Xenopus tropicalis: one gene and its partners. The protein of the gene in region 3 interacts with the protein of the main gene of each other region in a pairwise test. Links are inferred from orthologs where the notes say so. Each region holds a gene or a part of one and is shown on either strand. Other genes may lie near its edges. The genes, in order: atxn1, nfya and zc3h10.

Evidence for each region.
Region 1: the proteins of zc3h10 (region 3) and atxn1 interact in binary tests that used the Homo sapiens proteins (3 or more experiments, as listed by UniProt). The link is inferred for Xenopus tropicalis from reciprocal best matches to the Homo sapiens genes ZC3H10 and ATXN1.
Region 2: the proteins of zc3h10 (region 3) and nfya interact in binary tests that used the Homo sapiens proteins (3 or more experiments, as listed by UniProt). The two-hybrid records come from large-scale screens. The link is inferred for Xenopus tropicalis from reciprocal best matches to the Homo sapiens genes ZC3H10 and NFYA.

What each region holds. Positions count from the first base shown.
Region 1 is NC_030682.2:93,270,847-93,274,601, forward strand, and holds the start of atxn1 (ataxin-1), read left to right. Parts: upstream 1-1,453; 5' UTR 1,454-2,520; intron 2,521-3,755. UniProt on the Homo sapiens protein: Chromatin-binding factor that repress Notch signaling in the absence of Notch intracellular domain by acting as a CBF1 corepressor. Binds to the HEY promoter and might assist, along with NCOR2, RBPJ-mediated repression. Binds RNA in vitro.
Region 2 is NC_030678.2:71,394,887-71,398,541, forward strand, and holds part of nfya (nuclear transcription factor Y subunit alpha), read right to left. Parts: intron 2,136-3,655; coding exon 2,030-2,135; intron 1,616-2,029; coding exon of another isoform or gene 1,598-1,615; coding exon 1,449-1,597; intron 1,355-1,448; coding exon 1,181-1,354; coding exon of another isoform or gene 1,175-1,180; intron 1-1,174. UniProt on the Homo sapiens protein: Component of the sequence-specific heterotrimeric transcription factor (NF-Y) which specifically recognizes a 5'-CCAAT-3' box motif found in the promoters of its target genes.
Region 3 is NC_030678.2:137,623,996-137,627,750, reverse strand, and holds the start of zc3h10 (zinc finger CCCH domain-containing protein 10), read left to right. Parts: upstream 1-1,070; 5' UTR 1,071-1,134; exon of another isoform or gene 1,135-1,148; intron 1,149-3,755. UniProt on the Homo sapiens protein: Specific regulator of miRNA biogenesis. Binds, via the C3H1-type zinc finger domains, to the binding motif 5'-GCAGCGC-3' on microRNA pri-MIR143 and negatively regulates the processing to mature microRNA.

The DNA of each region.
Region 1 (3,755 bases), on a different chromosome or scaffold from region 3:
TTTAAACACAAGTACCTTTAAAGAATGGCATTTTTCCAACACAACTGTGGCAACCTTGGGGCGCCCACTTTCTTGAGGTACAAAGGTTTGAGCTAGGTAGGGAATATCCTACTGCTGTTCTCTATGTAAAAGGTGGCATGTGGCTGGATATGGATATGGATGTCTCATAAGCAGAAGTCCTGCTCAGTGCAAGCTTATAGTACAGGTTCTAGTTCACTCAAGTATGGTGAGCAATATTAAAAGGGCGTGGATAGCATTTTAATGGCCATATGGCCAGACATAATGGAAGACATTCCTCCAAATAGTCCCTAGTTATTATTTATTACTGCACCATATACATAAATGTTATTGAGTAATAGTTACATTTATCGATACTTTACCTGTGAGATTTATGTTTGACAGTTTATGAAATACCTTATTTCTCAGCATTCTAAGCATTCAAGCTTATTTCAACATTCTTCTACATTGTATCCGATTCTGCTTCTGGAGAATAACAATATGGTTATAAAATAGCCAAATATTACCTAAACCACTATACTATCTATCTATATATATACCTATCTATTCTATATATACCTATTACTAGTATCTGTTAGGAGAAATGGAAGAAAATAGGTGCAAAGTTTGCTCCAGATCTATTCAAATAAATAGCAATTAATCAGCAGTTAACATGCTGCAATTAAATACTCAAAAGTCATAAGGGTAATTTATAATAACAATACATGTAACAGTATTGTACATATTTTGTAAAAGCTTATAAGCTTATCTGTCATGGCTCCTGTGGGCCCAGCAGGTCAGCCTTATCCAGTCTTTAATGCATGCCACATCTTGATCCGCGTTTGGTTGCTCCCATTTCTCTCTCTTCAGTATGGACCACTGATGCTCACTCCGTCTTAAACTGAGATAGCTAAAGACACACCTTGGAGGAGTTCAAAACACAAAAAACATGCATTAAAAGAGTAGTATTTTTTCCCACTTTTTTAATACTTTTTTGTATATTGCTTGTATGCTTGTTTGAATATTCACTTAAAGCTGTGGCCCTACGCCCATTTTTGACCTACAGTTCAGTTTGGTACTGCAGCTAAACAACTGTGAGACATCCTTCTAACTACTTAAAGACTTATAATACATCTTAGGTACTTTTATTCATATCACCCCCCCAAAGGCCACCTTTAGTGTTGGTGGCTGATGGAAGATGCCCTCTATATCGCTTAATACAACCAGCCTGGACTGTTTGTTTGTACCAGGGGCAATGTTCAGCCAGGAAGCCGTGTGTACACTTTACTGTGTTTGCTGTTACTTATTGCAGGGCATTGGAACTGTGAAACAACAAAAAAAACCACTGCATGACATATATGAAGGAAACAAGCCATCTGCTTGCTGTGTTTTCCACAACCTATTATGTTTTACCACCAGAGGGTACTCTTCAGGGTCACCGAGTCTGTTAGCATGCTTTTCAGTAACCCTCTGTTCCCTGGAGAGAGGAAAAAAAAACACAACAGGTTAGAAAAGTCCTCAAACACTTGACACCTGCTGGACAAACAGTCAGAAAATCACAGGCAATAGGTGCCCTTGGTGCTGTTTCCCACAAGGCAGCAGCTGAAGCACCCAGGAAGTGAGCTGTAATAGAAAACGTCTTTACATGAAGGGGTATGCCCAAAGCTGAAAGTTTCAGGGATTTTCATTCCCTTATGAGATAGGAAAACACATTCACACAAATAGGACGGTGCCTTATTGAAAAAAGGCTTATGTGGTGGAATGAATTCCATTGTTCAGCCTGCTGGCACAGATAGGGTTAAGCCAGAAGCGATTTCCTACATGACGTGAACACGTAAGGTCTGCGTTGTTCCTCTCTGTGGACATTGAGCTTGGCTTGCCCTTACAATTCCTACTCTCTGCCTCTCCTCCACCCCTTCTTCTCTTTCCAACAGAGGCACACACCCTACAGGAATCAAACGTGTGCACGTATTAAAGTTACTCCGCGCTGCTGCTACGTCTCTGCTCGCACTTTCTTCCTTTAAATGATCCTGAAGAAGAATCCCGAAAACCTCTTTGTTTTTCTTTTAAGGGGAACACCCACATTTAAAACTGCACCCTCAGTAGCTGTAGAGATACAACAAGTATACGGCAGGCTGGCGGATCAGCACGTAGAAGGGGTTAAAGCCGACCGCCCCAGCTCTGTTGTGCGTATGCAATAATCTGTGTGGCTGCCTTGGCCGTCTGCCAGAGTGTTGCCTTGCCTCCACACACACTCTCTGCCCCCCCCCTTCCTCCCTTTTGCATGAAGTAGGATCCTTGAGCTGTTGCAGAGGCAGCCAACTGCTCCATATTTGGCTTCTATTACACATTTACATACTGGAGAGAGAGAGGGAGAGAGCTGTACTGCAGACATCATTTCTACTACAGTAGAGGAGACGTACAAGACCTGTCTTTCTGCGAGGGGGGGCAGAGTAGGAGGAAAAAAAAAGCAATAGCTCAGACACCCTCTTCATCCAACAAGCCCCTATACTGCACTTTACAGTAAGTCGATTTTATTTGTCTCTTCACTTTTCTGTTCTGATCATGCAGACCTTAGTGGGCAAGTGCTATACATGCATGTACTATAGCATTTCCATGTACAGAAGCTTCTCTGGGATCATCTGTAAGCCTTGCAGAACTACAGATCACAGGCTTATTTTTCCTGCTTTTTATACCCCCTGAAAGAAGCAGCGATAAGTGAAATCAGTCAGAGATACAGGCATGTATTTTTTCTGTTCGCTGAAATGATATAGTGCAGTGCCTACCAGGAGTGCACCATCGGTGCAAATGTTCTTGATGAGTGCCGCTGTCTGTGTTTCGTGTAGAGTGGGGCCTGCTTTCCATAGGAACTGAGAGTAATAGAGTGTTTTACCCTGATCAGTAATAGGGAGACTGCAGTAATTGCTTTCCCCATGGGGTAATGAAGAGAGCCAGTGTGAGTGTGTGTACGAGAGAGGAGAGCACACGTTTATGTCACCTCTCTTAGTCCCCTCCTCCTACTGTCTGATCTATCAGTCTGCTTCTCTTCTATGGAGACCACCTGGTTCCAGATTACTATAGAGACACTTGCACAATCTTGCCATTATTTTGATTGTAGGGTTATTCCATTATTCATGAACATAAAAGAACTGGAAGGGCTACAGATACAGAAAGCTAGAAGGCTGAATAGAGGTAATTAGGTAAATTAGGCATGCCCAACATGCGGCCCTCTTTGGCTGGACTACAACTACCAGCATCCCTGGCACTTCCCTGAAAGCAGCCATAAAACCTGGCTTACTAGGTATAAAATCCTTTCTAATATATTTTTTTTATTAATGATATTAAGCCATGTAGTTCAATGTTTAGTGAGCTTACATGTTTGTGATCAAAATTAAACAGACAGGGCTGCATTTTAGCTCTTATGTTGCACTTTCACTACATACAGTCCATATTATTATTATTATTGTTGCTCTACTTTGAATTCATGTAAATAGGCCTAACCAATGACAGAATGTGGTTAGGAATTTGCACAGAGCTGGCCTAAGTAATACAAGTTGCCCTACATTAAAGCCAAGGCATTGTGTTCTGAACCACGGCCTAGTGCTGATAGAAAGACAGGCCCGGAGCATTTGGCAGACAGACTGCTCCACCCCACAGTGCTGGGTTCTGTCCTCGCTGCTTTTACCCTGCCCTCCTGGAGAACAGTATGATCCAGTCTGCTCCTTCCAGAAACACTTTTATAAAAGTAACAGTTGCCA
Region 2 (3,655 bases), about 66 Mb from region 3:
TTACATTTAAATGTAAAATTTTACTTTATTGGGGGTGTTACGGATGCCGTAGTTAATATAATCACTAAACTTGGACCCCGGGCCAGCACTCCTGTCCTTGAAAAGTGTACTCTTCCAGGGCAGTGTTACCTGCTATGCCCCTCACCTTTGCCAATGCCCCTGTTCTATCATAATAGGGTAAAATTTGCAAATTTAGGGTAATGGCACACGGGAAGACTAGTCACCCGCAGACGACCAATCTCCCCAAAATGCTTTCCCACTGCCAATAATGTAAATGGGCGGTGGAAAACATAAGCGACAAAGGTTTTTCCAAAGTCGTGAGACAATCAAGAAAGATGAAAGTGTGGTGCTCCTTCAGAAGTACCCTGGCCAGGGCAGTTTTCTGATAAAAGATGCACCAACATTGGGTCTCAGGCAAGCGATAATTAACACTAGGGGGGTGCTATATATACATATCTGCCTGCATGTAAAACACAGAGCACTTATGGGACTTAAATTACGTGCAAAAATGTAATGGTGTAAGTCGACGTTTCAGTCCTACACAGAGGACCTTTAGCAAGACATCAATTCATATCATTGCTCTGTGTTGTAGATGCTGATATTTATTGCAGCAGCACCTAGTGCTTTCTCGCCATTTTTGGCCGAGCGCGCTGCCACAGGGGTGTGGTTTGAAATGATTTGGGATGTTGTATAATGCAGCAACAAATTATTTTATATAAAAGTCATATAAATGCAGCAGGAACACCTACTTAAATGCCACCCCACACAACAACACTTTACTTTGAGGATACATTTCAAATAATACTTGTTGAATTGTGCTCTGCCTGTATAAGGAAAAAAAAAAAAAGTGTTTTGGCTAATATTTACACACTTTTAAAAAAAAAAAAAAAAAAAAAAAAAAAAAAAAAAAAACAATCTCCCCCCTATCTAATGAAAGGTTGGAGTGGCTTTGGAATACTTTTGTCCCATTCTCACATCTTTGTACAGAAACATGGTACAGTGCAGTCAAATGTGCCTGCATAGTTAAACATTTTAAACACTACATCAACTAACAGCAGTCTCCAGGCTGTACAGCATTCTCATAGCTCACAAACTTATATTCAGCAAACTCATAGCACTCTTTTATAAGTCACTGGGAGAGATCTCTGGTTCATATACTTATTCTTAGCCTTACACTCACTCTCCTCTCTTTTGGGATTTTCCCTTCTGCCTCCAATTTAGCTCGTGCTTGTCGTCTCTTTAAGATTCGGTGATACTGCTTAGCATTCACGTAAAGTGGCTCTTCCTCAAGCATCTCGGCACCAGGCAGTGGTATCCTCTGTAGAGTGGGTACAGTGCCAGCACCAGGTACCATCTGTATTAAGATATTAATAATAAGCAAAGGGAAAAAAAAGCAAGGGAAAAAAAATCATGTATTCAAACCAGAGGCATACAGTATTAATACATACCATCACCATGCCTCCAGAGTTCATCATGTTGCCAGTCACAGGAAGAGTAACTGTCACAGTTCCTTGGCCACTGTTGGTGGTATTGGTGTTGGCTCCAGCCTGCACAATCTGAGCTCCAGCTAGGCTAGCAGCAGGTATGGTGATCATTCCTGTAACAGGGACTGTCACTTAAGGGGACAAATCAGGTAAAACAAAACACAGGGACAGAGAGGTGGATAGAGGATTAATCCTAGGTAAGCCGCCAGTGCTCACAACCAATATGTTGAATATAATAACTCATAAGTTGTGACCATTGTGGGGAGAACCTGCTGTCCAAGAGAAAGGTGATTATCCAAAGTTAAACAAAGTAAAGATAAAATACCGCACCCATGCTTTAAATAAATGGCAGGTTTAATATTATAGTTCAGTAAGTGCTGCCAGTGTCTAAGGAAGCTTATCACTATATCGCAGTTATACAAGCTAAACTGAATTTTTTTATAAGCATTAGAATGATCAATCGGTGGGTGTGGAAATGTCAGAATAAGAAAATGTTTAAGTATCAGAGTAATACAATAAATAAAACACAAGTTACATTTACTTACCTTGCTGAAGAATGGTTCCGTCTGCATTTACAGGCTGGTAAACTATAGTCTGACCTTCAGCTGTCTGTGCAACTTGCTGACCCTGAACAGCTATCTGCTGCTGGTTCTGCAAATGTTAATTGAAACCATAAACAAGTCAATGACATAATAAAACACTTCATTTACTTCAATGTGTTCCTTTTTGTTAGCATTCAGTAACTTATTAAACATGTTTTTAGATCTTGCTTACACTGACTTCTCTCATTAGCAGTAGCTAAGCAGTAATAAATACATTACTTTGTTTTTTTTTGTTTTTTTTTTTTAAATGAATTCTAACAACATGTGTTGTTGCTGAAGTTTTTGGTGTAATTAAAAAGCTTCAGTTAGGGAGATCAGATCTTCTAAGGCAGCAACAAATGGTAGATAAGCTGGTCACTGATTATGACAAAAAATGTTTTCAATTTATTCTAACAGATAAAATTGTTTTCTAACACACATAATTATATCCAGTGCTGTTCTTTACACTCTCTCCTCTCTTTATTATTTTAGCACCTATATGGTTGCTAGGGTCCAACTTACCCTAAGCAACCAGGCAGTGATTTCAGTAAGAGACTGAAAGGTGAATAAAAGAGGAGCTCAACAGAAAGGTAAGTGATAAGTAATATAGTAGATAAGGCTGAAGAAAGACATATCAACATTTCATACAGTACTGCACACAATGTTAATTATTAAAATGGAATATTAGCCTCAACACGCAATTTGTATGTGGACAGAGAACTAGCTGAAAGACAGATTCCAAAAGGTGGTGATAAATGGAAAATTTTCTATTTCAACCAATGCTGTTAGTGGGGTACATCAGGGGTCACAGTGGGGGGGGGTTGGTCACAGTGGGGGGGGTTGGTCACAGTGGGGGGGGGGGTTGGTCACAGTGGGGGGAGGGTTGGTCACAGTGGGGGGGGGTTGGTCACAGTGGGGGGGGGGGTTGGTCACAGTGGGGGGAGGGTTGGTCACAGTGGGGGGAGGGTTGGTCACAGTGGGGGGGGGGTTGGTCACAGTGGGGGGGGGGTTGGTCACAGTGGGGGAGGGTTGGTCACAGTGGGGGGAGGGTTGGTCACAGTGGGGGGGGGGTTGGTCACAGTGGGGGGGGTTGGTCACAGTGGGGGGAGGGTTGGTCACAGTGGGGGGGGGGGTTGGTCACAGTGGGGGGGTTGGTCACAGTGGGGGGAGGGTTGGTCACAGTGGGGGGGGGTTGGTCACAGTGGGGGGGGGGTTGGTCACAGTGGGGGGGGGGTTGGTCACAGTGGGGGGGGTTGGTCACAGTGGGGGGAGGGTTGGTCACAGTGGGGGGGGTTGGTCACAGTGGGGGGGGTTGGTCACAGTGGGGGGGGGGTTGGTCACAGTGGGGGGGGTTGGTCACAGTGGGGGGGGTTGGTCACAGTGGGGGGAGGGTTGGTCACAGTGGGGGGGGTGACCCCTGTATTAGTTCCAATTGGCCAGTAAATTCGGGCAGTTAATACATCCCAGAATACAACAAAGGACTCTGGGTAATTGATGCTTTATTTCTATTGGCTGTCACTGTGAGTCAGAGGGAACGCCCACTCCTCTGTGAGCCGTACCCAGGTGCCGTGTCATTGGCTAAGGAGACGT
Region 3 (3,755 bases):
TGCCCTAGTTTGCACAAAATCTTTTCCCATTTTGGTCAACATGGCTTCCATGGTGGCAGGTACTTCTTTTGACAACCAGGAAAAATTGTTTTTTTAAAGGGATACTGTCATGATTTTTATGGTATACTTTTTATTTCTAAATTACACTATTTAGCAAATAATTCGCTCTACCATTTTATTCTTGAACCAACAAATGTTTGGTTTTTTTTAATGTAATATTGGTGTGTAGGCACCATCTCAGTGCATTGTGCCTGAGTCTGAGCTTTTGGGAGCCAGCGCTACACATTAGAACTGCTTTCAGGTAACCTACTGTTTCTCCTACTCAATGTAACTGGAGGATGCATGACATTATTTTTTACTATTGAGTGCTATTCTGTTACCTACTGGGAGCTGCTATCTTGCTCCCTTCCCGTAGTTCTGCTGATCTGCTGCTGGGGGGGTGATATCACTCCAACTTGCAGCCTAGAAGTAAAGTGTGACTGAAGTTCATAACAGCACAGGTCACATGGCTGTAGCATCCTGAGAAATGAAGAATATGGCTATGTAAAACGTCAAAATTACATACAAAAAAAAATCTGTGTTTTTGAAAAATGGATTTCAATGCAGGATTCTGCTGGAGAAACTCTACTAACTGATACATTTAGAAAAAAAACGTTTTCTCATTATATTTTTTCTCTCTTATATTCCTAAAGTTCCAAGTCAGAACTCCAAGCAGCAAATACTAAATAAACTGGGAGCTGACATGGACAGCATGGACATTATGACAAACCAAGACGAAGATCATTTTTTTGCGGTCTCTTTTGTTCTCTAACAGAAGTAGTACGTGCGAGCAAAAGAAATACAAATTGTGAGGGGAACTACCACACCTACTAGCACCATCCGATTGGCTGACGCAGAGGTACGTCAGCTCATCACTCCAATATGGCGGTACGTGATGAGCCGACGTACCGCCATATTGGAGTGATGAGCCGACGTAGCTCTGCGTCGGCTCATCACGCCAATATGGTGGTACGTGATGCGTCACGGCGCTTACGTGCAGTTGTGACGCAAAGTCTCGCGTGATGAGACTTGTGGCGTTGGATCGATTGTAAGTGAGGAGGCCGGGAGCTTGCGACTAGCGTGTTTGCGGGAGCCGTAAGTAGCGATCTGTGAGTGCGGGATGTGTTTGGTGGTACTGTTGGTGTAGGGAGATTCGTGTAGGGGAGGGACCATTCAGGCGCCGTAACCCCGGGCCACTGTCCCATATTGATGGCGGCTCTGTTCCCGCCCGTCGGTGTGTATAGGCGCCATCGCTGTTTCTTCTGCCCGTAATGCGCGAATGGTTGTTCCTGGCGGAGAAACTGTAAAGACTCCCTGGTTTCCGAGTGGCTTCCTTCCGCCACAGGCAAAAACAGCCAATGTTTCATTTAAACTCGTGTTGTGCGGCGGCTCCTGCTTTACTGGGGCTCACACGGTGCTAATACATTTATTTAGGGTCGAAAATCGAGATTTCAATCAGATTGTCCCTATTCTTTTGTACAACAGGAGTTTTGTCACATTTAGTAGATACAATAATCTAAGACCCATGTATGACGATGTAGTGCGCATGTCCATGAACAGTACCCATGGGGAATGCTGATTGGCTGCAATTGTCTACTGCTTTTAGGCAAATTTAGTTCCGTTTAAAACTTAACCCCATAAGTGACTTATTCCGCCGTGCAGACATTAACCTTAGGGTGTTAGTGTGGCCTCGCCTCCCTCCATGTCCTAGACCAGGGGGTCCCAACATTTTATTTGTACCTGAGAGCCACTATTAAATGAATAAAAGATTTGGAGGAGCAACACAAGCATGAAAAAAGTTCCCAGGTGTGCCAAATAAGGGCTGTATGAGCTTTGTGGTACCCCCTATGGACTGGCAGCCTACAGGTTGCTGTGTTTGGTTGTACACCTGGTTTTTGGTTTATCAACCGAAACCTACCTCTGAGCCAGGAATGAAAAATAAGCACCTGCTCTGAGGCCACTGGGGGCAACAGCCAAGGGGTTGGGGAGCAACATGTTACTCCTGAGCCACTGGTTGGGGATCACTGACCTAGACAATAATATTCTACATTTGCTGGGTGATCATTGAACTGTAGCAACATACAGACATCTTTTTCTTTCTGCATGTATATATGTGCCCTAAACTTAGTAAAAATATTACCCCGCCTTAAAGGACATGTAAAGCCTGCATTTGCCTACAATGTATATCAGTTGGGCATGTCTCCCCCACCCAAATGGCATTATTTGTACTGCATATATCCTCTCCGTTTGCCAGCACCATCACACTTTCCTAAAGCAAATAGCAGCTTTCACCCAGTGGCCATTTTTCCTCTGGTACATAATCAGATACATTTAAATCTGCAAACAGCATACACACACAGACCCTTATTCAGAATACATTTCATCAAGAATACAGGCTCACACAGGCACGACTGTCTCTGCTAAAAGTTCTGCTTTGTTTGTGCTGAGCTCAGGAGAGGAGGTTGGGAGAAAAATATTGAAGCCTGCAGCTAGAGATGAGTTTCTATGGGAACCAGCAATGCTATCTTTTCACTGGCTGCTAGACTGGGGGCGTGTTTAGTTATCTGAGCTTAGAACAACTGAGCTTGCCCACAAGCCAACAGCCAAAGCAAATTCCTGAGAGGGGGAGCTAAGTGATTTAAAAGTGATTAAAGGAACAGTAACACCAAAAAATCAAAGTGTATAATGTACTGTTGCCCTGCACTGGTGCAACTGGTGTATTTGCTTTAGAAACATTACTATGGTTTAGTAAATGAAGCTGCTGTGTAGACACGGGGGCAGCCATTTAAAAGAGAAAAGGCACAGGTTACATAGCAGATAACAGATAAGTTCTGTACAATACAATGGTGTTTTATCTGTTATCTGCTATGTAACCTGTGCCTTTTCTCCTTTTTCCAGCTTGAATGGCTGCCCCCATGGCTACACAGCAGCTTTTTATATAAACTACAGAAGTGTTTCTGAAGCAAATGTGCAGATTTTACCAGCGCAGGGCAACAGTGCATTGTATTATGATTACTTAAAAACATTTTTATTTTTTGGTGTTCCTTTAAGGGGATCCTGCAGCCTTACTATTAACCTCTGGACAACCAGTGTGGCAGGTATTGAGAGATTTCAAAGAGGCTGTTCACTGATTACATTTTTGTGTGGGGGGTTTACATGTCCTTTAAGTATGTTGAACTGGGGCAGTTGAATAAGGCATTCCAACTATAGTTGCCCTCTTATTTCTTACTCCATTTAACACTGGGCACTCAACCGATTCACCCAACGTCTGACTAGTTACTTGCCCTCCTATATGTCAAACCACCCCTCTAGTTAACATCCCTGCAGTTTGTTTTATTTAATTATCTTAAATGTGGCAATCCTAATAACCAATGTTTAGGTTTGCATGTTCTGGTGAAGAGACAGCTGGATGGGCTTTATTGGGTATAATTATGATTATAGCTTTTTACTCTTAAATGAATGAAGCACACTAGTTGCTGCTTTTTAAGGCCCCCATACACGGGCCGATAATAGCTGCCAATATCGGTCCCTTGGACCAACTCGGCGGCTTATCTGCCCGTGTAGGGGCAGAAACGAGCGGACTGGCCGACCGATATCTGGCCTGAAATTGGCCAGGTTAAAAGATTCAGTCGGATCAGGGGCCGCATCGGCTTGTTGATGCGGTCCCCTAACCGACTGCCCCATTGCCACCTACATAATCCGGTTGTTTGACCCCA